Linked DNA regions of Lonchura striata. The protein of the gene in region 1 interacts with the protein of each later gene in a biochemical or structural test. Links are inferred from orthologs where the notes say so. Each region holds a gene or a part of one and is shown on either strand. Other genes may lie near its edges. The genes, in order: PLCG1, KIT, SH3BP2 and GAB1.

Region 1 (7,912 bases):
GAGGGGGCCGTGTGAGGGAAAGATGTGTGTGGAATTTGAGGACAAGTGAAATTGGAAACAAATGACATTCCCATCACCCTTTGTTCTGAACATGCTCTGTACACTTCCAAGAATTATCTACTTTTTAGGTTTGTCAGACTGTTTTACCTTTTCCCTCCCCCTTTTTTTCTAAGCCCCACTCCCCTCTTTTACTTGAAAGATTTTATTGTGTAAAAAGAAGTTTCACAGGTCAATAAATTTCGAGGGAAATGAGCATTGGTCCAAAAAGGAAAATAATCAAGATTTTAGGGCTTTTATTTTTTTCTTTTGTAATTGTGTAAAAAAATTTTAAAAATTAAAAAGCAGAATTTTAATGTGAAACCTTTTTTTGCTATAATCATTAGTCTTAGAGGCATCGTTAGCGTAGTGTGTGTGCAAGACCATTTCCTGCAGCCTTTCCTCAACAAGTATCTTCTATTTTTATCATGAATTCCCTTTTAATCAAGTGTAGGTTATTTAAAATAAATTCCTACAACTTAACTGAGTGTCGGTGTCTCTGTGTTCTTTCACCTCCAGCCCTGGATGTGAGGCCCCCGTGGTCGCTGGGCTGGTGATGATGGTGGGATGCAGTTCCTGTTCCCAGCCCCAGCAGGAATTCCCTGAAGGATGTGCCCATCCCTGCCTTGCTGTGATTGTGCTGCCCCCTCCGTGGTGCCCACCCTGGCTTTCCACGCAGGCACAGCTCGCAGTTTGCTTTGCCCTGGGGGAAGCCCTGCCCAGGACAGCAGAGAGCAGGAGCAGGGGGATGCAGTGAGCCCAGAGCTGCTCCGCCTGGTTTCTCTGCTGCCTTTTATTCAGCCCCAGCCCTCTGCACAGAGCAGGATGGAGGGAGGGCACCTCCTTCCCCTCCGTGCCTGGGAAGGGCGGGAGGCTGGGCAAGGACTCGGGTGATGAGGCTGATGGATGCATTCTCCCCCCTGGTGCTGGGAGCAGCCCTGGCCTGGTGTCCTTGGGGATTGTGGAGCAGGCAGAGCCCTGGCTCCTCTGCAAGCACCTCCCCGTGATCCCAGAGCTGGGGTGGGCTCCCAGACCCCCGAGGGTGGCTGTGGGGCCAGGCTCTGGGCAGCCAGCCCTGAGCTGCTTCCTGCTGCTCGCTGCGATCCGCAGGCACTTTGTTGTGGCTGCACAAGCTCGGAGTCTGGCAGGAGTTTGCTCTCTGGGGCCTTTCCAAGGTGCAGCGGTGAAAATGCCAGTGGAGAGGGAAAGGGGCTCATTGTGCTCCCAGCCTGCCCGTGGCTGAACAATGCAGCCTGTAAAAATATCATTTCTATTTATACGGCCCTGCTTCCCGCCTGCTGACCTGGCCCAGTTATCCCCTATCTTACAAATTCTAGTATTCTTGAACAGGGAATTGGGGAATGCAGTGGGAAGGGATGTTCTCCCATAGAGGGGGTCCCCCACCCCAGAATTGCTGCTGGCAGATCCACCTGGGCATGGTGGGGTTCTCTGGCCAGGCTGGGAGATCTGTGTCTGATGGCCAAGGCTGGAGCGTGTTGTGCCTCTCGGTCAGCAAGAAGGAGAAGGATGTTGGTGCAAAACCCACCCTTGAAAATTCCCCCTGCTCCCTCCCAGCACTGGGGAGCACAGGCTCTGTCCTGGGCAGGGGGCTGAGGAGGGTTTAATCGGTGGCTTTGCCTGTGGCACAGCATGCTGAGGACCACACACCCCACGGAGAATTCCCAGACCCCACTGACTCACTGTGCAAACGGAGAAATGGCCACAAACCTGCCACATCCTGTCTTGCATCCCTCTGCTGCAGCGCCTGTGCTCGCCTGCCCTAGTGCCACCACCCCCACAACCGGGCCTGTGTTTGGCAGCCAGGGAAACTGAGGCAGCAGTGACATGACCGGGGGAGAGGACACAAATGTAGCTTTGAACTGGATCTTGTGCAGCACAGGGCCTGGTGGCCAAGGGGAGGTGCAAAACCCTGCAGGATGCAGCCCCATCCCCCTTGAAGTCTTAAGGATTCCGGGGTTGAAAATTGAAACCGGGTGAATTCGATATTAAAGAAGTGCGGGGACAGGGAGCGGGAGCTGCAGTGGGTTTCTCGCCGGGTGCCGGCTGTCACCCAGAGGGAATTTGCAGCGCCGGGCAGGGGCTGTGGGGAGGCAGCCTGCGGGCACGGCTGTGCCCGGCTCCCGGAGAGCGAGCCCCCGCAGCCCCGGGCGGCTCTGCCCCGCATCCCGGCACAGCACCAGCCCGGGCAGCTCCGCACCGCCTTCCCCCGGGGCCCTCCGCGCCCTGCTCCCTGCAGCACCACGGCAGCAATTCCCCCGTGGGGATTCTCTCGGCTGGTGTTGTCTTCACCCAGCCCGGGCAGCGCAGAGCAGGCAGGAATGAAGAAATAACCCGGAGAGAGGCATCTCGCCCAGGGTCTGCACCACTTCCTTGAGTATCAGGCACCCACTGGGCAGAGGGATGCTGCGCTGCAGGGACCCCCGCACCTGCCTGTGGGGTGGGCTCGCAGTGCTGTGTCCCTGGATTCTGTTCCCCGGGCTTTGAGCATGCCTGGGGCTGTCCTTAAGCCGGAGGTCACCTGGCATTGGCCTGTTCCCGGTGGGAGGATGCAGCTGCTCCACGAATCCTGCAGGATATGGGGGATGGCATCCCGTGCTCCGGAACTCTGAAGGGGGAGGTGCTGGGGCCACTCCGAGGGGAAAATCCCCCTTTTCCCTGAGGCGTTGGCAAGGGGAGATTGCAAGACCCGCAGGCTTCCACAGCCATATGATGAGCACAGTCCAGAGAATTTCTTCAAAAGCAAAACAGGAATATAATGGAAGTTTTTACTGCCCTGAGGGGTGGGGATGATTGTTCACAGCCTGGCTGGTACAGGAGCTGGGGCCACCAAATGGGGCTGACAGACAGCAGGCACACAAGGGCTATCAAATTTCCTCTGCTGTCAAATTAAACAGAGGAATTCCTTGGCATGCAGCATCTTAGACACAGAGAGCTAATGCAAGGCTAAAAGATGATCAGTCAAACTTAGAAAATAAAAAATATCCACTGCAAACAGCTCATTGTAAACCACATCCTCCACGTGTTGGCCTCAGCCACCCCGAGCTCCGAGCTGAGGACACACCTTGCCAGGTGCTCTCCATCAGCAGGAGCTGGCAGTGTTTGGGAACAAGGGAGTTACCTGTTCTGCTTCTTCGATGGCCACACTCCATTCCCAGGTTTTGCCCTCAAAAACAAGGGTGTGCCCACAATGCTCAGCTATTTTAAGACCACTGGGAGCCGGCTGTTTCCTGCCGGTCCCAAGCGAGGCCATTACACAAGCCAGGAGCCACTTCCCACGGCGGCTCACCCCGGAGAGAATGAGGCCCGGAGTGCTGTGCCAGCACCGAGCCCAGGCTCCAGCAGCTCTGGCTCAGCTCAGCACATCCCCAGCATCCTTACAGTGCTGTCATACACTGCTCACTTCTATCAGGACAGGTTTAGACTCTCACCTTGCCTGTTTGATGCCCAGACGCCAGGTAGGATCCTAAACGACCTTATAGGGCTCCTACTGTGTGTGGATGCATGTGTGCTGGGGAATGTCCCTGTGGAGGCAGGTGGAGCAGTAGGACACAGAGAGCTGCTCACATGTGGAATCCACTCAGGGATGGGCCCCTCACTAAGAAGATGACACCCTCCCAGTCCCAGCTGTGAGCTGGGGGGCTGAGATAAGGGCTGCTGAGCACAGGCTGCCTTGCCATGGGCCTGTGGGCACGTGTGTGTACGTGTGTGTATTCACAGCATCATGAGGTTTGGAAAAAAGAAAAAAAATAATGGGATTGATAAAGTTGGAAAAGTCCTCTAAGATCATCAGGTCCAAGCATTAACCCATATTTATACATTTATACATATAAATGGGAAAGCCTGAGCACCGTGTGCCATGGGATGTCCTAATGTAAAGGAGGGCATGGGGAAGAAGGTCAGAGGCACACAGAAAGGGAAATCACAGGCTTTAACCACATGAATGGAGCAAACTGCACTGAAACGCTTCCCAATTCAACCACTTATCCCCTTGCTAACCCTGCTTTTGTGTGGTCTCTAACCCCTGTTTTTTGTGGGGCCAGAGAACAGCTGGAGAGTGTCCAGTGACCCCCGGCTCCCTACAGGTCCCCCAGGGGTGGGATGCCACAGGCCACCCTGCAAGCCCGGTCCTGTTTTCCATGCCAGCACGGATCCAGCTGGGATCCGTGTGGAGGAAACTCCAGCAAACGCAGACCTGGCTTCATCAAGAAGCCACACCACAGTGCCAGCCATACAGAGGGCTCTGTCCCCCGGAAAAGCCATCGTGGGATGCACTGCTGGAACTCCACACGTGGCATGCCAGGATCCCACACAAACCCTGCTGTGGGTGCCACGGCCCTAAGGTATCCTGTGGGCTGTGTGGCCCACGGGGGACCTGCGGGGTGCAGGGTGGTCCCCTAGGTGTGCCATGGGGTGCACAGTCCCCGATCCCCAGGGGTGCCATGGGGTGCACAGTCCCCGATCCCCAGGGGTGCCATGGGGTGCAGATTCTCCGATCCCCAGACATCTCATGGGCTGCAGAGTCCCCCCGTCCCGCAGGGGAGCCGGTGCCATGGGGTGCAGAGTCCCCCGGTCCCCCATGGTGCGGAGGGTCGCACGGTTCCCAGCGTGCTGGGCGGTCTGTGGCACTCCATCCCGCAGCACGAAGGAGCCGCGCTGTGCGGGGATGCTCCGAGCCCCGCAGCACCGGCTGCGCGCTCCCCGCACGCTGCGCGCCCGCCCTCCGCGCCGGCAGCGCTCCGCCCCTTCCCCTCCCTCCTCCTCCTCCTTCCTCGCTCCTCCTTCTCTCTCTCCTCCTCCTCCTCCTCCTCCGCTCCCTCCCGCGGCGGCGGCGCGGGGCGCGGCGGGGCTCGGGCGCTCCCGCTCCCCTTTGTTCGCCGCGCCGATGGCGGCCGGGCCGGGCGCCGGCCCCGGGGCGCCCAGCGAGGCGGAGGCGGCGCAGCTGTGCCGCAGCTTGGAGATGGGCACCGTCATGACCCTCTTCTACTCCAAAAAGTCGCAGCGACCCGAGCGGAAAACTTTCCAGGTGAAGCTGGAGACGCGGCAGGTCACCTGGAGCCGCGGCTCCGAGAAGGTGGAGGGGGCCGGTGAGTGCGCGGCGGAGCCCGGCGGGAAGGGGCGGCCGAGGGGCTGGAGCCCCGCCGGGAGCCGGGGCTCGGTGGCGAGGAGAGGGGCACGGGAAAAATAAAATAAAATAAAAATAATGAACCTCCAGGCTCTCCGCGCCCGGCATCTCCCCGCGGGCAGCCTGGGGGGCGGAGAGGAGTCCGGGTCCCAGCGTGGGGCCGACCCCGACCGCCCTGTGCGCGGGGGATGCGCGGGGGATGCGCGGGGGATGCGCGGGGGATGCGCGGGCCGGTACCGCCGCTGCCCCCGCCCAGCGCCGCCTCCCAACTTTCCGCATCCCTGTTCGGCACCAAACTTCCCCTGGGATAAACGCGGTGTTTTCCCGGGTGGTGCCTTGGCGAGCAGCACCTAAGGGCGGTAGGGAACCTCAGAAGGAGGCAGGACTAGTGTGAGCCCTTTTGCGGTTGCACCTCGGAGCAACAGATGAGATCGAACGGAAAAGGTTAAACAGTAGGAAAACCAACCCAAAATATTGTGCTGTAGTTCCGTCCTCTTCCCCGTTGCCCTCTGCGCATCAGCCCGAGGGTGCTGGCACAGGGTGTGCTGAGCCCCGGCTTCCTGTGCTGGATGGGGGCGAGGAGGACAGAGGAAAGGATGAAACCTGAGTGTAAAACCAGGTTTCTTATGCAGGGCCGTAAGGTGGGAAGGGGGTGAGATCTGGCATGCTCTGCACTCTTAAACTTGGTGTTGGTTTCCCAGGTTTTCTTAAATTATCCTTCCTGCCCCTGTGTGCACCAGCACGAGGACAGGGGCTCTGCTCTGTGTGGGACGTGAGGAAGAGGGGACGTGCACGAAGGCCAAGTGGTGGGAGAGCTGGTACTGGCTGTGGCACTGGCCTTCCCCATGCTGAGGGATGTGGCAGAGGCCCAGCAAGGCCAGGGAGGGGTTGTCATCTCTCCTGGCAAGTGCTGCTGGTCCAGGATGGAAAGCTGGGATGCTATTAGTACAAGGGGCTTTGATGAGGAAGGGGCATGGAGATGGTGGCCACACCTCTGTAGCAGGTCCACAAAATGCTAATCTGGGGCTTTGGTTTGCCCTGGGACCCTTTGAGTCCTCTACCTTGCGCCCTGTGGGGTCTACAGGCAGATTTGGAGGGAGTCTTTAGCATCATGAGGACGTGCAGCTCCCCCATCTCTTTCCCAGAAGGGCCTGTGGGAGCAGTGAGGCAGTGTGAGAGCAGCATTTCATTGACCCTGGGCTTGAGCTGTTCTCAAACTCAGGCAGAACAAACATTGGTCTTGCTGGGGAGATTCTGGTCTTGGGCAGAGCCCACAGACCACGTGTGCCCATGGGGGACAGAGGTGTCTGCATGGGTGGTTGTTCCTGGGGACAGACCTGGGTGTGTCCCTGTAACCTTTTGGGGAAATCTGGAGAACTTCAGTTTCTGTACCAGAGTTGTGGGCCTGACAATGATAAAGCCACAGCTGCAAGGAATCCTTGTGCTGTGCAGACATCCAAGAGCAGTGAAAGCAAAGAGAGTGTCCCAGGGACCGAGATGACTGTTTCTTTTAATGTCACAAAGAAAAATTCCTTGGGGCCTCTCTACTGTGCCACAGGCAAGGTGTCTGGCTGGTGGTTTTGGTCTCTGGGCTCCCCATGTGTGCCTCCCTGTGCTCGTGGTGATCTCACACTATGTGTGACCCTCCCAAGTGGCCAGGTGGGCCTTGCTGGACACAGAGGACATCAGGCTGAAGAGCTGCTGTATCTTCAGCCTCATCTCTCTGATGCCAGATGCTTTCCCCATGGCATCCTCTCTCACCAGAGCAGCTCACCCTGCCCTCAGTCCCCTCCTCTGGTGTCACCCAGCACCCTGAGCTTGCAGGGCTGAGGAGCAGAGCTTTGCTTTAACACTTCCTGGACAGAACTGTGGGGCTCCAGCTGGAAATACCAACCTGTGTACACAAGTAGTGCCTGGGTTTCTAGGCAGGCAAGGCAAAGCCATGGGATCGATGGCCAGCAGTACCAGGTTCTTGGCCAGCTTCCCTGTTTTTATCTGGATGTGCTTTCTGGGCAGAAAGAGGATGCCTGGGAAATGCTGGGTGTGTGACAGCTCCACTTCAAGGTATTCCCCTCCTGGCTCATCCCCTTGAGGTCAACATTGCCATGGCCATGGTGGGAACCAGAGAACCAGAGGGGGAATAATCTGGAGTTGAGCTCATCGCTTTCAGTGCAGGGTATGGGCAATGACTGATCCAGTTCTCCCCATGAAAAGAAGCCATGCCAGCACAGGGAGCAGTAGACTGGGGCTGGTAGGGACACTGGGTTTTACTTTTTGTGGTGGTTCTGGTTTGGCCTCAGCTTGCACTATGAGGAGAGTAGCCAGCTGTCAGGGGATGAGGTGTTCCTTCCCATGGAACAGCATCTCCTCCAAATGGTGTCTGGGGACTTACAGATCAAAGATTGCTGTGTCCATGGGTCAGCAATGGATGTTCTTGTGGTTTTTGAGCGCTGGAGAACACTAGGGAGTTTTAGACTGCTCTGGATACATGTTAAATGTCTAAGTAGGAATGATTCTGGGGTTTTATCCATTTCAGAACAGGTGAACATCCACGGTATATTGCATATGGAGGTTTTGGGCTTGGGGCATGTCTGTGTGGATGGCCATGTCTTGGAGAGGTCTCCATGGACACCAGCGACAGAGGATCTGTGCTCCTTTCTCTGCTCCTGTGGGCTGTGCAGAAAGGAGATGTGTGTTTCTCCCAGAGAGGGATGGGTGACCTGGCTCCATGGC
Region 2 (7,834 bases), on another chromosome or scaffold:
AAAAAGGAGCCAAGCGATTTACAATACACTTAAAGAATGCTAAATTAAAATATGTTAAAGAAAGATACTTTGAGAGGCAAGGTGACAAACAAGACATGATAAAAATCCAAGTTTTTAAGTTCATCTACTCAGGGAATATAGGGATGAGAAATACCTTCTTCTCCACATCATGCTTTTGACATATATTATCTCAATCAAGGCAGTTCCTTTGCTTTTGTTTTAGTTCTCTTCTCATTTGATCCCCAGATTTATAAGAAAAATAGTGCAATTTAGCAAATATGTTGAAGCAGTCAACTGGATCTCATATGGCTTTAATCACCTCAGAGAAAAATGCCTGACAAGCCTCACTCTAGCCATTTATTTATATTGCAGATATGGCAAAGCACTGTAAGAAAACACAGAAGGACTCTTTATAAACTGCTAAGCAAAGTTAGTTCTTGTCACAAGGTTCAGAGCCTGGATATGGTTTCAGCAAGTAAGGCATTAATATCCTGTGGGGAGCAGGCAGAGAGGGCAAAGACAAGGCTCTCTGGGTCTGCAGCCCAAAGCTGCTGTATATGTGAAGGCCAGGGAAGAATGGGTAGGGCAGCAAGCTGGGAAAGGAGAATGCATTTGAGGAAGCCACATCAGCTGTTTCTCCACAATTATTTTCATGAGCTCAACTCATGGAAAAAAAACCCAATGACAATCCAGCAACAAAATCAAGTAAGACAAAACAACACTTGAATTGACCTGCACTGAGTCAATTTTCAACAGTGGCCTGTGCAAATAAAGCTGCAAGTGATAAAGGCAAGAACTACACTTGGCAGTTCACAAAGACAAATCTCTTTTCTTAGTAAGATTGCAGGCTATAAACTAACAAAAAAATACTATCAAGAAGATTAGAGCCTTTATATTCCACTTAAGCTTAGACTGATAAAACAGTGTTTACAATAGTGTGCTATGTGTGTGATAATACAAGATGTCTTCAAAAACAGCATATATTTCAAGCTTCAATTACGACTATATCTAGGCTCTCATTGACATTCAATGCTGGAAAAATTTTTAATTAACTAGGATGGCAATGCTGGTTTAAGATCACAGTCACAATGGGATTTACTGAGTATTCTCCACAATTGGATTAAAAGGGAATAAGCTACACCTCTCACTTTAGTAATACTGAACGGATTCAGTTTGAAGATTCTTATTCCAGGGGGAATGAGATAAAGGTGTCCACTTCTTCTGAATTTATTTTAGTGTCATCCCTCTAAAAATAACAGACATTTCATCAATTACACTGGCTGAAGACATTATAATCCTGCCATCTACAGATGAAGTCTTAAGACATGTGCCTATCAAATGCTATCAGTTTTCTCCACTTACCCACCCTAACATGTCAGCGTGGAGAGCAGAAGACGAGAGATTAATAAAAAAAATGAAATGGGATGTCCCAAAATCTCAGTTTCTAGAAAACAGGTCCAGCTGGATTATACCTTCTTGTACCAACAGTTTAGACCAGCAGACTTCACACACTTTTCTATTTTTTTTTAATATTAATAAAACAGAAGGTGGAGAAAATTCACAGCTACAGTTTAGTCAATTTGGATCAAGATACTGCAGAGTGCTGAGTATATATTTTTGCACAGTGGTCATATGACATTCCTAACTCACTCTTCAGAAATGATGCTTTAGATGAATGCACAAGGCAGAAATTTAACCACTTTTTACTTTTTAAAAGCTTAACAAACTTTTATGCCTGTGATTAGATAGGTTTTACTGCAACACTGGTAAATCAATATGTGTTTCAAACTTGTGTAATTTCTCAAAGCCTTCAGGAATCACAGAGGAGTTAATTCTGGAGCTGTCTGGTTTGCTGGGGCTGCCAGCTTATATGAAAGAGCCATGTTCCAGCCTAAAGTCTGTCAATCTGCAATTTAGAAAAAGGAAACTACAACCTTATAGAAAAAGTTGTTATTGTGGGCAATCAGGAAGGATTCTAGCCACATTGATTGGCTGTATCAGAAGAGTAATTCCTCTCTTCTCAACAGATACATTTTGTCATAGATAAAAAGAGTCTAAGATTATTAATGCTGTAAAAAAGGTTTTCATAGCTCTGACAAATAAATTGTTTTAAACCATCAAACTTGCTCATTTCTAAATGCATTTCCATTCAGATACAGAAATGACAAACCCTTCATTAGAGCAGCAGTATTTTGTTGACATTAGCTTAATCTTACCAATATTATTGACCTATTCAGTGTTTACTTCAGCAAGCATTCCCATGGATATCTAAAAGCAATATTTTGAATTGACTTTTCAAAGGAGTTCATCCACAAATTTTAAATCACTTTCAAGCTTTCAAAGGGAAGTGAACTTTTCAAATATAATTTCACATATTTCTCCAAGCTTATCGCTCTTATCTCCAAATGTGTATTGTGTCCAAAGGCTGCAGATCTCTCTTGTCTCTCTCTTCATTCCACACTCTCCCAAATGTCAACCTACTGCAAGTTGTCTCCAGCAGATGATGAGGAGAGATGGCACTACCTGTCCTAACTCACTGCCATAGTACCACAGTGACAACTGAAGAGAGAAACACGTGAGGCTGGCTGCAAAGTCAAAGAAGAACCTTTCTGGTTTATGCTCACATATTTCAGACAAAGGTAGGAAAAAGACCTAAGAGAACCCTCCACTGCTTAAAAAACTTTCTTTTGCTTCTATAATGCAAACAGGATATAGACAACAAAACTTACAGCATTCAGTGCAATACACTGAAAAGGGCAACTGCATTTATCATTTTAATTATTTAAAATAAATGAAGGGGCAAGGTTAAAAGCAATTCACCTTTGTTTCCCACTTACTGTTGCTATTTATAGTCAGTCAAAGCACGTGGAGAATACTGTTGCCACTTTGATTTTGAGATGTAACATTGAGCTAATGTTTGTGAAAATGAGGCATATGATGCAGAGCCATGCGGAGTTCAGATTCATGTGATCAGGGATGTGCAGGACCTAAAGGCAGGCCACTAACTGAAGGAGCACTAATCAAGGAGAACAGGGAAAAACCTGCCACAATAACAACATCACATGTTCCTTGATAATGCTTTAGTGAAAACCTCTTACAGTATAGTGCCCTACCTTTGCATCTTTAAGAAATTAAGCGTTCCAAATGTTTACATTTAAAAATTCAGGCTCACTTTTTTTCTCCTACAGAAACAAAATCCAGAGACACCTGGAAAATGGGGGGGGGGGGGGGGGGTGTGAGGGAAACGACACTAATAAATTAAGTATTTCAGTAATTTTTTCCTCCCTAAGGTTAATTTGATGAGGTTAGCACATAGTAAGAAATAGGATTTTAAGATGTTATTTGATTTTGAAATTGTTGGTGTGCTAACAAAAAGTATTCTGTTTTGCAGCAGAGGAAGGATTCACCTATCAAAAGAGACTGGCTGTCAGAGATGAAAGAGAGTAAAGAAATGGAGAGAGCCGTTTTAAACATGCAAGACAAGACTTTCATCTCATGCTGGACCATGTGGGACAGTGCTATTAACCTTGGGAAAAAATCTGACAGGAGTGAAAAAGAAAGGAAGATGAAGGGAAAAAAAAGGAATATTTACCTTCAATAATTTTTCTGATCTGTACTGACACATTTCAAGAAGTCTACATTTATGCTTTTCCAGTGGTGAAAGTTTTGCCATATGTCCTCTACATCTTTCTGTACATCCAGAAGTGTTGTTATGGATTTTCTGACAGTCTGTGTCCTTTGCCCACCTGCCTGTTAAGGTGCTGCCTGTGGATACCTTGGGCAGAGCATGGCTGGTGAATGCATGCATGGCTCCTTTGCCTGGGTCACCTCTATACCTTTCTTCCACCTCAACAGTGTGTGACACTGACTGCTAAAACAGTGTTAAAGCTAAGAATTTGTGTAGTTTGTGTTATTTCTGCCTGCAGAGCAGCTCCACTCCAATTCTGCAGTTACAGAAGTGAGTGCTCCCAGATCCTCGTCAGTGGTCTCATCGGTGCTTAAAAAACTCCCTCTGTGGGATTCCACAACCCCTTTTTGCAATGCATTTGTAGTCTAAATCCTCTTGCTCTTTGCAATCGCCTTCCTTACATTTAAGCGATTTTTTTTTTCCTGAGAATTAAATGGATAACTTTTTTTCTTGCCCTTGAGAAACATTAAAAACAATCACTCACAATCCTTTTCTTAAGGACCCTTTCCACGTTTAAGCTCCCTGTCAGTTTTCTCGTTTCCATACCAAACCAGCCACTTCTTTCAAGTCTTCGCTTTGTGCCACAGCACATACTTTTAAGTCTCACTCGAGGTGCTCTGGCCCTCAATAGGTGGTGGCCCACAGCGGGCTGGGTGGATGTCAGCAGTGCGAGCCAGGGCGGAGGCGATACCTTTGGCGCCTCCAGAACCAGCCAGTCGTTAACAGCTCCAGGGGCGATCAGTGAGGATTTCAAAGCTAGGCAAACGGCTTTGTACCTGCCCTTTAAGGGATGCTCTCTCCCTTTCCAGCTCCCGTGCCCGGCCCGGCCGCTCCCCCCACCTTTCTCCGGTCCACGTTCCACTTGGGTTTACGCAGCCCCGCGGCCCCGATCCCTCGGGCGCTCGGCGTGGCAGAATGCCGCCCGTGAGGAGGGCGAGCTCTCCCTCACGACAGCACTGAGCGCCCATTCAGCCACTGGGCTCGGTCCTTTTTCCTTAAACCATTCTGTTTAGGGGCTTTAGGTGAGCCCAGAGGAGGCTCCCGGGGGCGGAGGAGCTCCTCACCTGCGCCCATCCCCGCGGCGGCGGGGCGGGGGCGCGGCGCGGCGCGGGGCGGGGCGGGGCCGGCTCTACTCCGCTCCCTCCCGCGGGGGCTCGGGCATCTCCGCGCCGGGCCGTGCGAGCGGCAGCCGCGCCGGGATGGAGGGCGCGATCCTCGCCCGGGAGCTGGCGCACACCGCGCTGCTGCTGCTGCTTCTGCTGAGCCTCTTACCCGCAGGTGGGAGCCGCGGGCGCGGGCGGGCGCGGAGCCCCGCGGGGCCGGGGTTTGCACGGGCGGCGGCAGGGAAAACTTCAGCGCTGGCGGCCCCCTCCGCGGGGCAGCGCCGCGCCGGGGGTCGGCCGGCAGCCAGCGGTGTGCCCGGCATCGCCCCGCGCTGCCCTTGTGGGACGCCCCGCCGGGGGAAATAAAGTCCTTTGTTTGCCGTGCGCGGCTATCCGGGGCTGGGGGAGAGACCTGCAGGGAACCCCTCCACCCCCCTCCGCCTCCCCGGCCCGGCTGTTTTGACAATAAACTATCCGGGGATCGGTACGAAATGTCCCCGCGGTTAAGTGCTTGTTGAACAATGGGCAGGAACGAGCGGCCGGCGTCAGGTGTCCAGCGCTGAGCAGCGGTGTGCAGCCTCCCCGGTGGGGCAGGTGGGCTCGGTGCCCTCTGCGGCCGCCGGCGGGCAGGTGCCCCGGAGCAGGGCTCGCCGCGGGACCGGGCATCAGGGCTGGTCTGTTGCGGCGCTGACGGACCTTTGCGGTGAAGAGGGCAATGGGTGCCTTTCAGGCCTTTGGGGAATCAGCTGGTGCAAAAACTTTGGTGGGTAGGTTCCTTTCCAGTCTTTTCTAAAAAGGGAGTTTATTTGCTTGACCTCATAGCCCTGGAGCACAGGTCTAACGGTTTTAAATACTGCATCTGGCTGCAGAGCTGGGCAACTTCACACATGGCTTTCAGAGCCGCCGTGCATCTCCTTTCATGGTTTGTAGGCTTAGGAGGCGTTTGGCTGTGTCCAGGGGAAGGTGCTGGAAGGAGGTCGCTGCTAGACCTGGGGAGGAATTTAGCATTGGGCACTGAAGTCTGAAAGGAGATAACGTGAAAGGTTCTTTCGCTGCTTACCTCAGAACGAGCTGAGGATCCAGAGAAGCGATGCACAGCGATAGGTGTTTAAGGTTTGCTGCCACCACCAGAGAGGAGCCTTGCAGAGCACCCTGTGTGACACAGACGGGGAGGGTTCCGCCAGCCTCTGCCCATGGGAGCAGACACCTCTAAAACACCAGAAGCCAACAGTAGTGACAATTTACACTTCATTGTAAAACCGTTTAGGATGCCTTAATGATTTTGTTTAGGTAACTTTTTCTGTTTGCTGCCGTTGGTTTATTGGTAATCCGAGTAAATGTGGTATCTGGCAACTTGGGCTTTCCTATTTAGAAGTACCCACATAAGGCTGCAAAATGCTGTGGCCACAGGAGTGTAAAAGTCTCCTAAAAGTCTCCTACCAATGAGTTATTACTAGAAAGAATTTTTTAAGATGTTGACATGATTGATACCTGCCAACTTTCTTTACTTCATGAATTTCTTGCCTTCACTTCAAGGTTACCCTTCATCATATAGTTAGACTGTCCTTAAAGAAGGCTTGGGAAACAGATCACACTGGCAGCGTGTCCTGGAAGACAGAGGTGCAATTTCTGGAGTACTGAGGAAGCAAGGAGGAACCTTTCTCATGATCCTCCATCTCGTTCTGGGTTTATACACTTACTTGTGGGAGACTTCAGGGACACATCAGACAAAAACTTGTGTGAACAAAACCACACCATGTTGTAAGAAATAACTTGCTACTGCAAAAGACAGCTGTCCTTGGGTATGTATGTGCATCATCTGTGCATCACATAGATGTAGGAGTATTCTGGGCTGGTTTTGTGGTGCTGGGAGAGGTATCGGTGTGATGGTTAGAGTCCTGGCAGCAGCATAGGAACATCAGAAGTGATAGGACAGAGCTGATGTGCTGTTCTGGATTGCTCCAGAGCTAGTTCCTGTGCTGCTTTTGGTTTTGCCTCAGTGTAGATGCTTGGCTGAGATGATCTCCCTGTTCAGACCTATCCTGTTTATCAGCATACAGGTTTATAATAAGTATCTTTTTTTGGCTGTTGGTCAAGCGCGTCTTCCTTTGGTTGCAAACTGGGAAGGAGGATGTAGAAAACAGCTTAATGTAGCTTCTCAAAGGGTAAACCATTCATCTTTTCTGTCCACAGTCCCTTCCTAATTTTTGTTTTTCTTGCAAACTGACATGCTTCCATACTTCCTTCCATTTGGGACTTGCCTTGTCCTCATTTTGATGCAATATTCCGGAACAGTCTTTTCTCTCTTCTTCTCCTGTCCTCCCTCAAGGCTTGCTTTGTCCCCTACCATCCAGTACTCTGTGAGAGTGCCTTGCATTTCCATCCTGTGGTCATGGAAGACTGGACATGGTTCCTTTCAGCATCCATCCATCAATGCAACCTTTTTTTTTCCCCCCCAATCAGCTGCAGAGTAATAGCAGACTCTCCCTGTGCCCAGAGGGAAGAATGTCTGTTTTCATGATGCTCCCTGTTACCTATCAGCCATGAGGGAGGAAGCTTGAAGGACGAAGATTGAATTTGATGAGAATTTTGATTGCTGTCATTCAGTCACTGCCTTGACCCCCCTCAAGCCATCTGAGTATCCTGCCCTCCCTACTCCCATTTCATTTCTATCTCTGCTCTCTGTACTTTTCCTCCCTCCCCTGTGGCAGTGCAGAGTCCCCTGTGCAGAAATGTAGCCTAAGGCCACTGCCAGGAGCAGAATGGAAATGTCAAAAACTGCTCAATATTCAACTCTTTTTCCTTGCACCGCCACTGGGAACCTTTTCCCTGCAAGTGCCTGAGTGATTTTTGTTCGGGCTTTATAATAAAGAATGTGACAAATTTGGCAAGAAGTGAGACTGCCATTTACATCCTGTTTAAATAGCATTCATAGAGACTGAAGGCATTTCCACGTGCTTATTTTGCCAGAGAGAGCCTCTTGTCAACAGATGACTGCAGCTGTGGTACTGTGGGGTTGTATTGGCTCTCTGTGGGTTTTCTG
Region 3 (7,566 bases), on another chromosome or scaffold:
AGGAAATAAATCTTTTGTGGAAACTCCCACTTTCAGTATCTATGTGTATTTGGGGAAACTCCCTTTGCAGCTGTCTTCAGGAGTAGGATCTTGGCAATCATATTTGTACTTCTGCTAGTTACATAATTTTTTAACCTATGTTCTATTTTAAATTGTTCTACAAGCAGTGATGAGAGCAGTTAATCACAGCCATAGACATTTACAGTCTTTTGTATGAGGACTTTGTATATAAATAACAGTTAAAATGAACAAAGAAGATTCATTTATTTTCAATAGTAAAAGGAAATGGAGTGTTGGTAATGTATCTGAATTTATATAAAAAAAATTTGCTGCCTTTTGATTCATCTTCAGGACTTGCCTTCTACTTTAGGTGTTGTTTATACCAAATGTTACTGGTGTGATCTGACTGGCACAGACTTGACCCAGTTAACTCCCTGGGGTTTTGAGGGGCCTTTTGATTTAGTAGAAATCTGTTAAACTTGAAAAGCTACACATAACAATTTTGCCCACATTGAAAATTATGCTGAAACAGCTGTACTGGTCTTAATTCATAGAACCATTTAGGGTGGAGAAGACCTCTGAGATCACTGAGTCTTGAATTTCAATCTAGCACCAACGCCTGCTCACCACTAAACCATGTCCCCAAGTGCCACATCCACATTCTTTAAACACCTCCAGAGATGGTGACTCCACCACTTCTCTGGGCAGCCCATTCCAATGCTTGACAACCCTTTCTGTGAAGAATTGATTTCCAAATATTCAACCTAAATCTCCCCTGGCACAAGCTGGCGCTGTTTCCTCCCATCCTGTTCCTTGGTACCTGAGAGACTGATCCTCACCTGGCTACAACCTCCTGAAAGGGAACTGGAGGCAGTGAGAAGGTCTCCCTGAGCCTCCTTTTCTCCAGGCTAAACACCCCCAGCTGCTCCTCACAGGTGCCCCAGACCCTTCCCCAGCCCCGTTGCCCTTCTCTGGACACAATCCAGCCCCCCATTGTTTTTTTGGGAGTGAGGAGCCCTACAAGACATTAATATGAAGTCTTGAATTATTTTTCAAGGCTGGCTGGTATAAGTGAATCTAAGTTCTTATATTGAGAGTTTACAGATGGTTCTTGTCTTCCAGCTGCTCAATCTAATTTACTTTTTTAGAAGCTATGCATGAACTGCCAGTACTTTGTAGCTGTACTTTGAGCAATATATGACATTAACTGTATCCCAAAATCAAAATCATGTCATCATCTTCTAGGATGTGTGCCAAACTGCTTGATGAGACAGTCATGAAAAGTTACAACTTTGTTTTAAAATTGAAATGCTCATTCTCTGAGATATGGCTTATTTATTGCAGACCAGTACTGGCCGGCATTTTTTGAAGTTCCAAGCCAACAATATGTCTATAGATGTTTAGAACCTAAGAGCCACTAGGGTATAAGTAGAAACTTGGAAGCTTTCTGACTTTAAGTATTTTTTGGGTTTTGATTGAATTTATATTATGAGGACTTCAGTTGCCTATTTTAAGTATATGTAACAAATAAGTAAATATATTATCAGGACTTCTTCATGTCTTCTGAAGTAAGCTGAAGGAAAGGATGATGGTTAAAATTTAAAGTATAGGAGTTCTTTTGACAGTGAAAGAGGATTTCTGTAAGTTGTGGCCTCATTTCCTTGTTGCTGGTTTATCTTTTAATTTTTTTATAAAGATAACAATGCAGTTCACCCAGCAGAAGTAATTCTGATGGATGGTTATTTGTATTTTACAAGGTTGCCTTACTTAATAGATGAAGGATTCAGGCAAGTAATTTACACTTGCTCTTTTACAATCTGCAGCTGTGAATCATGCAGCTGACAAATACATTATCTCCCAATATAATGGCTGTGTTTCCACTATCATCTAGAAGCTTGAGACTAAACTAGTTTGGTAGAATTAATAAAATACTAACATTTCTAATAATCTACTCCTGACTCAAATTTAGGACACATTCTGTTCATCCCTTTTTGATGCTTTATTATACTGTGGACTTCCATGGAAATATATAATGTATGAAACCTTACATTATTCTGAGTAGAACTTAACTTCTGAGCTGACAGAAAGTGTTTTTCATGCTATTTTATTTTTTTTAGCGCTTTGTTGATTTTTCTGCCTTGCCTGTTGCTGTGCTCTTCTTGTGCTGTTTTTATTTGCAGTCCATTCTTACAGTTTCCTGTAAATTTGTCAGCAAGAGGAAGTGCTCCCACTGCAGACATAGCTCAGCCCTACGGTGAGACAAGTGAATTTATACCAGCAAGGACAGTGTTCTGCCACATGTGTTTGTGCCCTCACATCCCATTAACTAATGATTGGTAGGATTGCTTTGGACTGCCAGCAAGAACTGTTCCTGACAATGGCAGGGAAGACTGGCTGACTTCCTCAGGCAGCAGCCCTGCTGGAATGAAATCCAAGTCTTGGTTTCAGATGCTTTGGTTCTTCCTTTTAAGTCTGAGTGATACTTTATAACTTAGAAAGAAATGGAGTATCTCTTTTGGAGTGAAATTCTTTCTAGGCCAGCTTGATGCAAGGCTGCTTCTCACCACTGATTTCATGGGGACAATGAAGATTAATCTGAAAACCTTATACCAAAGGTCTATGCCTAATAGAATTTTGCTTTGGGAAGGAGGTTCTATTTAATACTCTTTCACTTCCCTGGCGGACATGTCAATCAAATCCATAAAGTTTTCATGTTTTTTTCAGATTCCTTATTTGCAATTTTGAAATACAATCCTTATGGTGAATGTTTGGTCTAGAAAGCTAAACTGAATTTGCAGTCTCCCAAAACTGTGAAACATCTAAACTTTGGTTGTTCCTTGGTGGAACACCTGTTGTGTGTGTGTGTGTGAAGTGTCTTCTGTTCTGACTCTGGGACCATCTTGATAGTGTTGGAAATCACCAGAGAAGTCAAAATGGGATCTTCGAACTTGAAATGAAAAATTCTGCTTCATTTCTGAGTACTAAAATTAGGAAAGAGAGAGAGTACAGCATGAGAAAGGTGAGAGGGGAAAAGCAGTACCTCAGGAACATGTGTTGGATGAAGAGGCATGGTTTAATGAGAATGTTGAGGCCAAAGAGTGTGGTAGTAGAAGTCGTGGAGTTTGGAGGGGAAAACCAGGAGTTAGGTGTGTCATATCAGAAAAGGGAAAGAGGAACTGAAGTATTTTTTCCAGTATTGCATATACTCAAGTGCTGTCATTCTAAATCTATTTTTTTTTTTACTAAATTGGAGAAACAGCTTGCAAAGATGCTAATGCAGACTCAGAAGAGTATACTTAGATAAAAGAGAACTCAGGGAGGAAAGATAGATTTAGAGCAGTGGGCCTTAAATGAGTAACGGATACTGTAACAAATAAAGCAAGTGAATTAATTCACAAAGCACTGAGATTAGTCCTCTGTAATTACTTTCTGTGTGAAAAATCTGTCAAGCCACTGAGACAACTGGGTATTGATCCTTATTGCAGAGCACTGGGATCTTTTGTTCTGATATGCAGATCCTTTTGGCTAACAGCAGGTGTGTGGTATTTATGGTTCAGTTTCCCTTCCTATAGAGCCTGGCAATGGAAGGAGTGCAAATGGGTGCCCTATGGTGGGAGAGCTGGTTTTTCTAGCCCATACAGCCGTGAGCAGTTTCTGAAATGTTACTTTCTTTTGTGCTTTGACTGTTGGGTCATTTACAAAAAGAGATGTTGTATGGAGACTTCTTCCTTCTATTTTGGGATACAGATTTATGGCTATTTCCTCCAAAATATGTGAAGTAAGCTTTTCTTGACATACTTATAGATGTTTTGACCATAATTCAGAAACTTGCTAGTTGATTTTGTCGTGCTCAAACTTTTGAGCCTGGAATGTTGTTTCAATCTAGACAAGTTAGTGAAACACTTGAATCCTTTTAAGAACGCCAGATGAAAGTAATTGTAAATCAATTACATTTATTCATTATCGGTTGGCGATACTTGTGAGCAATTGTGCACTGTCAACCTCTTGAATTTGAATTTTATTGCCTTTTGTGGTTTGTGTACCATCAACCATACCGGCCAGACTTGTTCTAAAGCATATTCATGCTGCAGAATTTTTCAGGATGGCTGTTTTGATTGTCTTGGGTTGAAGAGGGAAGGAGAAGCTCCAGCTGTGGGGAAGAAAACAGGTTAAATACTTACAGTTCTGTGGTGCAGTGCAAGTAGCTGAGGCACAGGCTCTTCAGGAGCACGGGCAGCATTTCTGAGCCGTGTCTCTGCCAGAGTGGGAGCTCCAGCACACTGGGAGAAAAAAGGACGACTTTCTTCTTCTCCCATAGGAAAGTGATTGATTGAAAGGTGCGTAGGAAGAAAGTGAGCACTGGAAAATCCCCTCTGCTTTCTAGCACGATGTCTGCCGGGCGTTGGAGCTGTGCGGGAATTGATTTATAACCTGTCTGGGAAGCTGGGAGATCTGACAGAGATAGCGCTGCCCGCAGCCAGTGGGGGGAACAGGAAGTAACAAAGGAAACAAGTCATTGCCTGGCGTCACTTTTGGCCACAGTGCACTGCAGATGCACAAGCAGCTGGGGCAGGCTTTCTTCTCCTTTTGTGTGTTGAGCAGACGGCAGCTGCAGCTGTGGCTTTCAACCTGGGAGTACCCAAACGCGGGAGAGGTGCAGGGATGTTCCTGCCATGCCTGAGAGGGGTCATAAGTTGTTAATGGCTTTGTCATCACAAAGGAAACAATCATTCGCTGAAACTGTCTGCAGAAGAACTATGTGTCGGTCGGACAAGGTCACCAGGTTAGTGCTTCTTGTGGCTTGTGTTTGTCATCTTTTCTCCTTCAGGTCGAGAGCAGACTGCAGCTAAGAGTGGGACATGGTATCTGAGCTAAAATACTTGAACTCCTGCAGAAAATTCAATGATAAAGGATTGGAGTGGGAAGAGATGAGTTGGGTGTTGGTTGAAAACTTGTCAGAAAAGAAAAGCAAGTTGAAGCAAGTTAAAGAGAGTGAATTTAGTTATACGCCGTATCTCAGTTGGGCTTATTTCTCTGTTCCCTTTGTCTTGTAAGATCTTGTTTTTACTTCAGTGTTTGTACTGTGCTATTAATCTTTCTGAGAGAGTATTGTGAAAGGGGCTGTTAGAGGTATTAAGAAATGGAATGTGTAACCAGAAAAAGTAGGTGAGATATAGAAGAGTATTTTAGAAGTACTGGAGAATAGTTAATAAATTTACAAGAGCAAATTTACAATCTGATAATTCTGCAGAAAGCAGTATTAAGAACAGATGGTACATGTTTAGATGATTGAAACAGAAATTATTCTAACTGAGAATTGCTGAGAGCGTGTAGGGGAAACTTTTCCTGTTCTGCACTGTGTAATGCTGCCTCATTTTTGGTAAAGCCTGATACTTCAGTCTCCCTCTGCATAATTTAGCTATGTTTTGCTTCCACTAAAAATTTAAGGACTAGAGGTTATGAGATTACAGTTGTAAAAGTTCTCAGTAATTGGCATAGAGAGCGTTGTTACAAATTCAGGCTGGTTTTTTGTTTTTTCCAGCATGACCAAACAGGGCCAGATCATAAATATTATTGTAATATGTGATAACTTTTAAAACAACTATTGGCAGCTGTAATCTCAGAAGAGGGTAATATTTTTTTTGCCTATATACTGCAAGATGTGGAGATAATCACATCTGCCATATATTCTGCTGAAGTTAAGCAAGATCTGAGGACTTTTCCAGGATGCAATCCTTAATTGAATCAACTTGTATTTGCTCTAATTGGGCTGAACTCCAATAACTCTTAAGGCCAAGAGGGATAAGTGTTCTTCTACAATGTAATCCAGATTTTTCATGTGGCAGAATTTTACTTTTACTCGTGGAGGGCCTTTCAGCCTGTAAAGTTATACCCTAGCCTTCCTTCTAGCTATTCTCTATCTATTGAGCGAGCAGTTAGATTAAAATTGCCTCACAGATATAGATCTTTACCTGCTACACAATAACAGAAGTCTGCTATCCATTCAGAGTTTGAACTTGGTGGCAGTACTATGTTTCAGTACTATGTTTCACTTCTGTATCTGACTGGCCCTATCCTGGTTACGAGATGAAGTGTGTGAATTCACTTTTTTTCCTGCTGTTTAACTTTCAGGGTACTTTGAAATAAAAGCTGGCTCATTGTGATAGTGTTTGAGAAAAGTATGCTGATGTGATAGACTTGGGGTGACTTTGATACATTAGCAATACACTGCAAATTGTTTTAGTTTTCAGTCTGGTAGACCAGTTTGTATATAAGAAGCAGTTACAATAATGATTATAAAAGCTCTGTATCATGCTCCAGGGTGCTGATTGCACCGTTCTGTCTTTCCAAAAGCACTCTTGAATGATGAAGCACATCCTAGAAACTGCTGTTCTACTATTTCTCCTGCTACACTGCAAGGCCTTTCATCTCCCGCATAGGCATATAATTGTCACAGGGATCACCTGAGAAACAGTGATGCAAGACCTTTCCGTGACTGCTGCGGTCCTCTTCTTGTTCAGAGGGTTCCATTCAGTGGGGGAGAAAATTAATTCAGTAGCCACATGCAGTGGGTTTGGGACTTGGTGGAAAAACTGGTTAAAAATATGTATCTAATTCCTTGGTGAGTGGGAAGAGGAATAAAGTGTGTATCTATTACTAGAAGCTTTCACCAAATAATGCATGGGATGTTGCCCTCTGTTTGTGACGGAGAACCAGTGTCAGGAGGAGCTTTGGCTGCACTGGGAGCCCTTTCTGTTAACTTGGGTTTCAGCCCTGTGGAAGAGTCTCTCTGATGCACCAGAGGTGAAAATGTGTGATGGGGGCTTTGTCTCGTAGTGTAAGAATGTAACTGCATAAAAAACAACTGGGAAATATCCCTCTGTTCCCAGTAATGCCAAAATTATCAGGCTCTGCAGTGACTTCAGCAGCTGCTATGATGTGTACATGGTAATGCAACATCCATCTGTTGATGTAGTCTGTTAGAGAAGTTACAACAAGAGTTGAAGGAACCATTCAGTGAGCAAAAAGCAACCATACTATAGATGCTAAGACCACAAAAATCTTTGGGCTTCCATTTTTTTTTTCCTTCTCTCCCCCCGCTACAATAAAGATTCTGAAGTTAGATTTGTGTTGACAGCTTTCTCCCAGCAGTGTGATGCAAAACAGCAACATCTGTCCTTACAGAGCTGTTTTCTGCAGTCAAGAAAAGAAAAATCTGACTGGGACCAGAGTCAAAGTACTGAAATGCATTTTAGCAGCATAACTGGAAGATTTCATCTCATAATACTGAAGTCTTCCCTAAGTGTCTGCTATGTGCCTGCAAATGAAAATGCTTGAGGAGTGTACAGATATGATGGGGAGTGTTATAAGCCACACTTAAATCCAGATAATAGGCTTAGCTTCCTCTAAATCTGTTGAAAATCCTGGTGCATTGGGTGGGCTCTTTAGTTCATGTATTGTGTACTTGGTGGCATGGATTTCAGCTGTGTCTCCTTTTACTCACTTCTTTTATTCTCTTAGCTGGCCTGGGGAAGTTCCACATTTTGGTCTCTATTTTCAGGACTG
Region 4 (7,121 bases), on another chromosome or scaffold:
TACTTTCCTCAATGTGCTTGCCAAATAATCTAAATAACTACATTCTGAAAGAAACAGTAAATGTCATCTGCAAAGTGACCAAAATAACTACATAGATTAAATTTACCTGGGAATAATTTTGAAATCAAAATGGAAGTATTTGAGATGAAAAGAAATATATAAATGCAGAATTTTGCAAACTTAAAAGATTAATTCTTTTTCTTCACTGATTCATTTTTACATAAACACCTAAACATGTTTTAGGATATAGACTGACATGCAAAATTTTTTGTTAAACTAATTTATACTTTTTAATTAGACCTTTGGTTCTTTTTTTGTCAAAGTACAAATTTTGTGTTCAAATGTAAGCAGGAGGCATAGAGGAGTTTAGGGATCACTATCAGGAGCAGCTGTTTGTGACTGCAAGGTGAAACCACAGGGGAATGCATAGGTTATCATACTAGAAGTATAACACAAAGATAGTGCTGTAGTGAGCACCATCTTATTATGCAAGTCCAGAATTCTTAAGCTATTTGCATGAGAAATTAACATAATTTATATTTTGAAAGCAAGCCCATATGTATTTAATCTCCTCTTCTATCAGCTCCTGCTTCCTTCATCAAGGCAACTTGGCAAGCAAACCAGAGACAAATGGATTTCCACATGACCTACTTTATCTGGCAAGATATATAAATAGTCTACTCCAGAATTTTGAAGAACCCATTTAAACACTTTGGAACGCACTTGTGGAAGAACACAAGGTCAGTGGAGGAGTCAAGGCATCTTGCACATGCTTCCTGAGCTGGGAGGCAGCACCAGCACCGTGACCACATGTGTGTAGTCGTCACATTCCATATGACCATGGCATCACCTCGCTGGTTAAAGTGCACTTTATTGAGCATTGTGTGTGCTGCAGCTTGGTCACAATGTCCAGTCACAGCACAGGGACTGTTTCAGATGGCAATGTGGGATCCAGGAATGGCAACATTCCTAACATTCCCAATCCTGTAGCAGGATTTGGCACTGTAAGAAGAGAGGATGGATACCTCCAGAGCTTCCTCCTCGAGCTGCTCTGCTGGCCACATCCTCTTCTTCAAAACCAACAGCTGTCATTGCAACATCCTTGTTAAAAACAGGCAAAATAACCTTTCCTCCAAGAAAAAAATCCTCTTCCCTTCTCTCTTCTTCCTCAAAGGCCCTACACTCAAATACCAAAGATCTCTGTAATGCAAATAATTGAGCTTGAAACACCTTTATCTTCCAGGCTTCCCAAGGAACAGCACAGAAATAACCTGAGGGAACAAAGTGAGGGGAGAGGGTGGTCATGTCCTGACGTGGGGTTACAGTCCTTCAAGCCCTGAAGGGAGTTTTGTTCTTCCAAGCACAAGCTGTATTGCAGAAGAATTTCAAAATGGGGCATGCTTATATTGTTTTAACTTTCAGGACAGAAGTATAGCTCAGTTATTCTCGACAGAATCCTTGTGACTTTTATCCTTAAATTCAGGAAATTATGTCCTAGCCTAAGCTGGCTGAGTGTAAAAATTTTTCTACATGGAGGAACTGACTTGTGTAATTATTTCACCACTCTCTTCATAGACAGTTTTACAGTTATAAATATGCAGGTGTTAAGAGTCAGACCTAAATATTGTGCTCTTCATGTATTTCATTAGCCTTGTTTCAGTTTACCCTAATACAGGTTATCTAAATTATGAACTGTGGAACACTGCTGGATATGCACAGAAATCCACAAAATTAATATTCTTGGATTTTCTAGCTGTTCACTAACTTGGAAAGAGAGGTACAGCTCTGTGCAGCCTTCTCCTGAGATGGTAAGTGAAGGCATTGGTGGGACTGTGGATGCGTAGCTCAAATGGCTGAGAGCAGAAAAGAAAATCCACTGCCATGACTAGGAAAGGAGCAGTCCATGAGACAACATCTTAACATTTAGAAATTGTGCTTTGCTGTATTGTTTTCTTCAATTCCACAATGCAATAAAAACATTTTATGTCCAGTCATGAGGCTTGTGACTAGGCTCAGCAACTAAGTACAGTCTAAAAGGCAAGCTTTGTTGTTTACTATTCATCACTGTGACATTAACTCTTTTTCCCTAGTGTATACATGACAGGGATTAAACCCCCTCACAAAACTGATAAACAAATACATGAAAACTTAAGCTGGAGTCCAGGCTGACACTGGTTTCTGTGTGTTTTAGAACACAAATGTAATGTTTTGAAATTTGACCTCAGGGACAATCTTGTGTCTCTGGACCAGCTAACTTGTTTGGTTGGTGCCTCCATGGAGACTGCTTAACCCAAAACAAGCTTTCTTTGATTTGCCCTCAAAGCATGGGTTAATTAATGGGATTCAAATGAACCATTGGATCACGTCACAATGCCCCAGTGCCAATGGCATTTTTAGTTAGTTCACATTGGCTCCACATGTTCTAAATACTGAATCGTCTCCAGTGTTCCAAAGGATACTGGAAAATTTTGTGGTCTTATCTAGCACTTGAATAATGTCAAATGTTGAGATTATTAAACAATGGTATTAGTGGTTTAAACAAAAAACTTGCACTGAAACCCAGTTTGTAATCTAAACCTAAGAGTACAATTTTAGTTCATGTTTACTAACCAAATCACTTTTTTATTGTTTCCACCAGCCCCGCTGAGGAAGCTGAAATGATGGTGTGCAGAAATTCATGCAAGGATGGTTTGAATGCTCAGATTTATGTGCTTTGAAAATTGCTAAAGGCTGACATTCATATCTTTTCTTATTTCAAATGCTTTTGGCAAAATATCTTATTTTATGATCTTTCTTGTAGTGCTTAGTAATGCTTCATAATGTCATAATTATCATGACAAGATTTATGTTGGAATTGATGCACAGATTTTAACACCTCAGCCTTTCTCCTTTATTTTTTCCTGTTATTTCTTTGAATGCTCCTATATGCTACAACCACTGCTTTGTAACTTTTAAATACACTTATACCTAGATGAAATGTAGCATCATCGGGCTCCCTTCAGCCAAGGCACACTAGGGGGACTATTTCTCTGCAGTGAAACTTCACTGGGACTAGACAACAAAGCCGCGATCCCATTCCACAACCTGCCATTTAGTAATCTGAAAAAAATTTGTTCAAAAATTATTTTCGTTAAAAGTGTACTATTATTTTTTCTTTATTTAATAATATATTATTTATTGATTATATTTATTAATGTATTTGTTATTACTTATTTAACCCTTTTCTGACGGAGTGAAAAAGACAGAGAGCATTCACAGCAGAGCTGGTGAACGACCTGGACAATTAAGGATTTTTTTTTTTTTTTTCCTTTTTTTGTTATGGCAGTTTCAGACTTGCTATGAGAAATTTACTTAGGCCGCGCTATTTTTAATGCAGTTTTAATAGGGATCTTTAGGTTGGGTTTTGTTTCTTTGCTTGCTTGGTGTTTTCATTTGTTTTCCCCGCAGGGACCGAGCCCGTCCCTCGGCCGCGTCCCCTCCGCTCCCGGCCGCGCCGCCGCAGTTCTCGCCGGGTGCCGACTACAGCTCCCAGGATCCCGCTGGAAGCGTCGGCCGGCCGTCCCTCCCTGCCTGCCTCCCTGCTTCCCAGCCCTTGTTGTTTGAAAGGGCTCCGGCGGAATTCCGAGGGGGAGCCGCGGCGCTCGGGGCGGCGCCGGGCGGGGGCAGGCGGGGCGGCACCGCCGCTCGGCGCCGGGAGAAAGGGGGCTCGGGGGGGACGCGGCGCCGTGAATTCCAGGGAAAAGCCTTCCCCCGCTGGCCGGCAGGGAAGCGGACCGGCTCCGGGCCACGGCCCCAGCCTCGGGACAAGACCCCTCCCCGCGGAAGGGAAGGCGAGGAAGGGACGGCAGGCGTGCTGCCGATCCCCTCCTCCCGGCGCAGGGGGAGGAGGAAGAAGGAGCGAGCAGGGAGCCGCGGCGGCCGGCGCTGAGCTCGGAGGGGCGGGCGGGAGGGAGCGAAGCCCCCAGCGGCCCTGCCCAGCGGGAGGGTCCCGGTGGCACGGGGGAGGCGCCACCGGCGCGGGGCGGTGGCTGGATCCTGGATCCTGCCCCGGGACGCCGAAGTTGCGGCGGGGCGGCGGCCGCCCCTGTCGTCTCTCTCGATGTCCGTGTAACTCGGCGGCGGCGAGCAGGAGAAGGCAGGGAGGACCCTCCCGCCTCAGCCCCGCTCGCCGCCCCGCTCCCCTCCGGCGGGCTGTTGTGCGAGAGAGACAGACAGACACACACACCCTGCGCCCCGTCCCGCCCCTCGCCCCGGGAGGCCAGGCCGGGCGCGGTGCTGCCGCCGCCGATCGGGGCTCCCCGCGCCCGCTGCTCGAGGAAGAGAAGGAGCGGGAGGCGGAGGGAGCGCCCCGGCGGGCAGCGGCGCAGCCATGAGCGGCGGGGAGGTGGTCTGCTCGGGCTGGCTCCGAAAGTCCCCGCCGGAGAAGAAGTTGAAACGCTACGTGAGTGCCCTCTCCCACTCGCGGGCCGCGCTCCCCCTTGCTCCCTCCCTTCCTCCCTGCCCCGCTTCTCTCCCGCCGGAATTCCGCGCTCGCCTCCCGCTCCCGCCGGCCCGGCCCGGCCTCCCCGCGCGGTCCCTCCCGGCCGGGCCCGGGCGAGCCGCCCTCCCCTCCGCCTCCCCGTTCCAGCCGGGGCTTCTGCACGCCACGTCCCTGCCGCTTTCCCAGCGCCTTTTCTTTTCTTTTCTTTTCTTTTCTTTTCTTTTCTTTTCTTTTCTTTTCTTTTCTTTTCTTTTCTTTTCTTTTCTTTTCTTTTCTTTTCTCCTTAAAAAAGGAGAGCTGAGCGGTCAGATGTTTCAGCCCAGTTTTTATCGCCTTTCCGAGGGAGTCGGGAGAGGGCGGAGTTTTCCCCCTCTTCCCTCCGAGTCCGACCTCGGTATATATGTATTTTTAAATGTAAACACTTGCCGTCCCGGGGCTGGTGCCCGATCCCAGGGAGGGCGGGGGCTGCCCCGGTTCCGCGCCGCTCCCGGCGGGATTGCACCCCGGGCTGGAGCCGGGGATGCCTCGGAAGCGGTCTGGCTGGGGCGGGGGGAGCTCCGCTCTCGCTCTGCGCACCGGGAAGAAAAAAGAGGAGGCAGTTGTGAGAGAAGCGCCCGTGTCTCTCTCGAAGTTGTTGCCGCTGTTGCTCGGTAGTGGCTGCGCTCGCAGGGGCTCCGGCGGAGCGGACGGGAAAATGGAGCGCGTTTGCTGAGCGGGCAGATTCCATGACAGGGCACAGCGGAGCTGCGGGGCCGCCGGGGAGGCTGTCAGGTCACGTAGGAAGGAAGGATGGGTGATGCCAGGAGTCATCGCTGCTGGCTGAGCCCTTTCCCATTGGCACCCGGCTTGTTTCGCGGCATCTGTGTAATCGGGACAAAATGCTGGGCCTTTTTTTTAAACTCTTTTCTTCCTTCGCCTTCATTCCCTCCCTCCGCCCTCCAGTGTTTATCTTTTTTAAGCAGCTAAAGCTTCAGATTTATTTGAGAATCTGTGAATACAGATCTTAGCGTGACTGTGTTATTTTTGTCTGTTAGCGATTAGCAGTCTCTTCTTGAAGGGACTTTGGGCGGGTTTTTTTAAATGCCAGGAAATCTGTGAAATGAGTCCCTATTTAAATTAATAAACAATATTTGGGGTAGCCCATTCTCTGGTTCCCAATGTCAGAAATCCTCTTTGTGTAAAGGAAAGAGAACATCCTGATGAGACATAGCAGGGTTCTGCTTCCCCGCTGAATGGACTGCTTTTTTGGCCAATTCTCTATGTCTGTGTGTGTATTCACAGGACACCTCTTCACCAGTGTGGAGGAATTAAGAGCAGTATTCATGTTTTTAAAGACTTTTAATAAATTTTCCACTCAAACTCTAAATCCTGTGAAGGGTGCTGTGTGTAAATGGACAGAGTTTGCCCTCCTAAATCAATCTCATTAATCAGTCTCATAATATGCCAACTTTTTTCCATGTAGCTGCCCTTTCAGTGTATTTATAGCTCCATTTCTATACTGGAATTACACAAGAACCTTTGAGGGGAAAACCCCGACTACAGCACTGGTCAAGTGGTTCCCTGTCCTAAAGAGGTAATTCCTTAATTTTCATTTGAAAGGGGGATCTGCTTTTTGAGTAGGCAGACTATCAGGATGATAATACGGCAAGCTTACCTTAGCGTGATTTGGTTCAACATTAGCATGCATTGTAGGCCGTAAGATCATAAGTTTAAATCCTACACGTTATTTTTGACTCTTTTCTGCTTGTGTGAAAGAAAGATACCACTTAGAGAAGGGCTTAAAGTAAAATTCCTCCTGTTTGTCTGTAGTGCCTGCTCTGTTGCAGGCTGAAGGCTGACACTCCCTTCAAAGACCTAAAAGTGACCTTGACGTTATGGTAGCCGTCTTGGAGCAAACAATAAGTTGATGTATTTAAGACAATGAACTCCAGCTGAGTGCACTGGCTGGAGAGTTGGCTTGTGCTCCCTGTAATTCTATGCTTAAGTGAAGGCACAGCAGAGAGCTGCCTTTTCCAAAGCCATGTTTTATGGTGGTAGTATTTCAAGGGGCTGCACCAGATCAAAAGATGGGAAAGTGATTTCAACAGGAAACTGCTTTTCTGCAACGCATACTTTTCACAGGTATATATGGAAAATTGTAACTTCGTGCTCTATTAAGTTTTGCATGCAAATGTTGGGGCGAACCCAGGTTACCATCTGGAAATGGAGATAAAAAGTCTGATATTGTTTTTAAATATGGTTTAGTTCCTAGAAAGGGTGAAAAGGAGCACTTTGAAGCTAATATACAGACATAGCTTTCACAGGGACTTTGATTTTTAGTTTGAAACTGTTGGATGAGGTATTAAAGCTAGCTTATACTCATTTCGAGGCTAAAAAAGTAAAAACCCTCCAACCAGCCCTGTCCTGCAGGTGGTATTCCAGATTTCCTTGAGTGTATGCCTTAATGCCATGAATGTCTGTTTCTTCTCTTAGGAGTTCTGTTCTCATGCCTTGTTCATGTGGTTTTGTTACGGAATTAATGTTCTGACAGCCATTGGCACCTGCTGTCAGTTCCCTGGAGCTGCTGTTCAGAACAGTTGGAGGTAATAGACTGGTTGTTTCCAGCAGCACATCTCTGAGGAAAGTACAAGTAACTTTTAGT

What was found.
Region 2: the proteins of PLCG1 (region 1) and KIT form a complex in vitro, tested with the Homo sapiens proteins (3 studies listed by BioGRID and IntAct, with this or other methods). The link is inferred for Lonchura striata from reciprocal best matches to the Homo sapiens genes PLCG1 and KIT.
Region 3: the proteins of PLCG1 (region 1) and SH3BP2 form a complex in vitro, tested with the Homo sapiens proteins (2 studies listed by BioGRID, with this or other methods). The link is inferred for Lonchura striata from reciprocal best matches to the Homo sapiens genes PLCG1 and SH3BP2.
Region 4: the proteins of PLCG1 (region 1) and GAB1 form a complex in vitro, tested with the Homo sapiens proteins (2 studies listed by BioGRID and IntAct, with this or other methods). The link is inferred for Lonchura striata from reciprocal best matches to the Homo sapiens genes PLCG1 and GAB1.

The regions. Positions count from the first base shown.
Region 1 is NC_134619.1:9,747,237-9,755,148, reverse strand, and holds the start of PLCG1 (1-phosphatidylinositol 4,5-bisphosphate phosphodiesterase gamma-1), read left to right. Parts: upstream 1-4,904; 5' UTR 4,905-4,939; coding exon 4,940-5,141; intron 5,142-7,912. UniProt on the Homo sapiens protein: Mediates the production of the second messenger molecules diacylglycerol (DAG) and inositol 1,4,5-trisphosphate (IP3). Plays an important role in the regulation of intracellular signaling cascades.
Region 2 is NC_134606.1:27,108,318-27,116,151, forward strand, and holds the start of KIT (mast/stem cell growth factor receptor Kit), read left to right. Parts: upstream 1-4,820; 5' UTR 4,821-4,887; coding exon 4,888-4,966; intron 4,967-7,834. UniProt on the Homo sapiens protein: Tyrosine-protein kinase that acts as a cell-surface receptor for the cytokine KITLG/SCF and plays an essential role in the regulation of cell survival and proliferation, hematopoiesis, stem cell maintenance, gametogenesis, mast cell development, migration and function, and in melanogenesis.
Region 3 is NC_134606.1:9,289,313-9,296,878, forward strand, and holds the start of SH3BP2 (SH3 domain-binding protein 2), read left to right. Parts: upstream 1-4,553; 5' UTR 4,554-4,673; coding exon 4,674-4,783; intron 4,784-7,566. UniProt on the Homo sapiens protein: Binds differentially to the SH3 domains of certain proteins of signal transduction pathways. Binds to phosphatidylinositols; linking the hemopoietic tyrosine kinase fes to the cytoplasmic membrane in a phosphorylation dependent mechanism.
Region 4 is NC_134606.1:64,919,133-64,926,253, reverse strand, and holds the start of GAB1 (GRB2-associated-binding protein 1), read left to right. Parts: upstream 1-4,114; 5' UTR 4,115-4,369; coding exon 4,370-4,441; intron 4,442-7,121. UniProt on the Homo sapiens protein: Adapter protein that plays a role in intracellular signaling cascades triggered by activated receptor-type kinases. Plays a role in FGFR1 signaling. Probably involved in signaling by the epidermal growth factor receptor (EGFR) and the insulin receptor (INSR).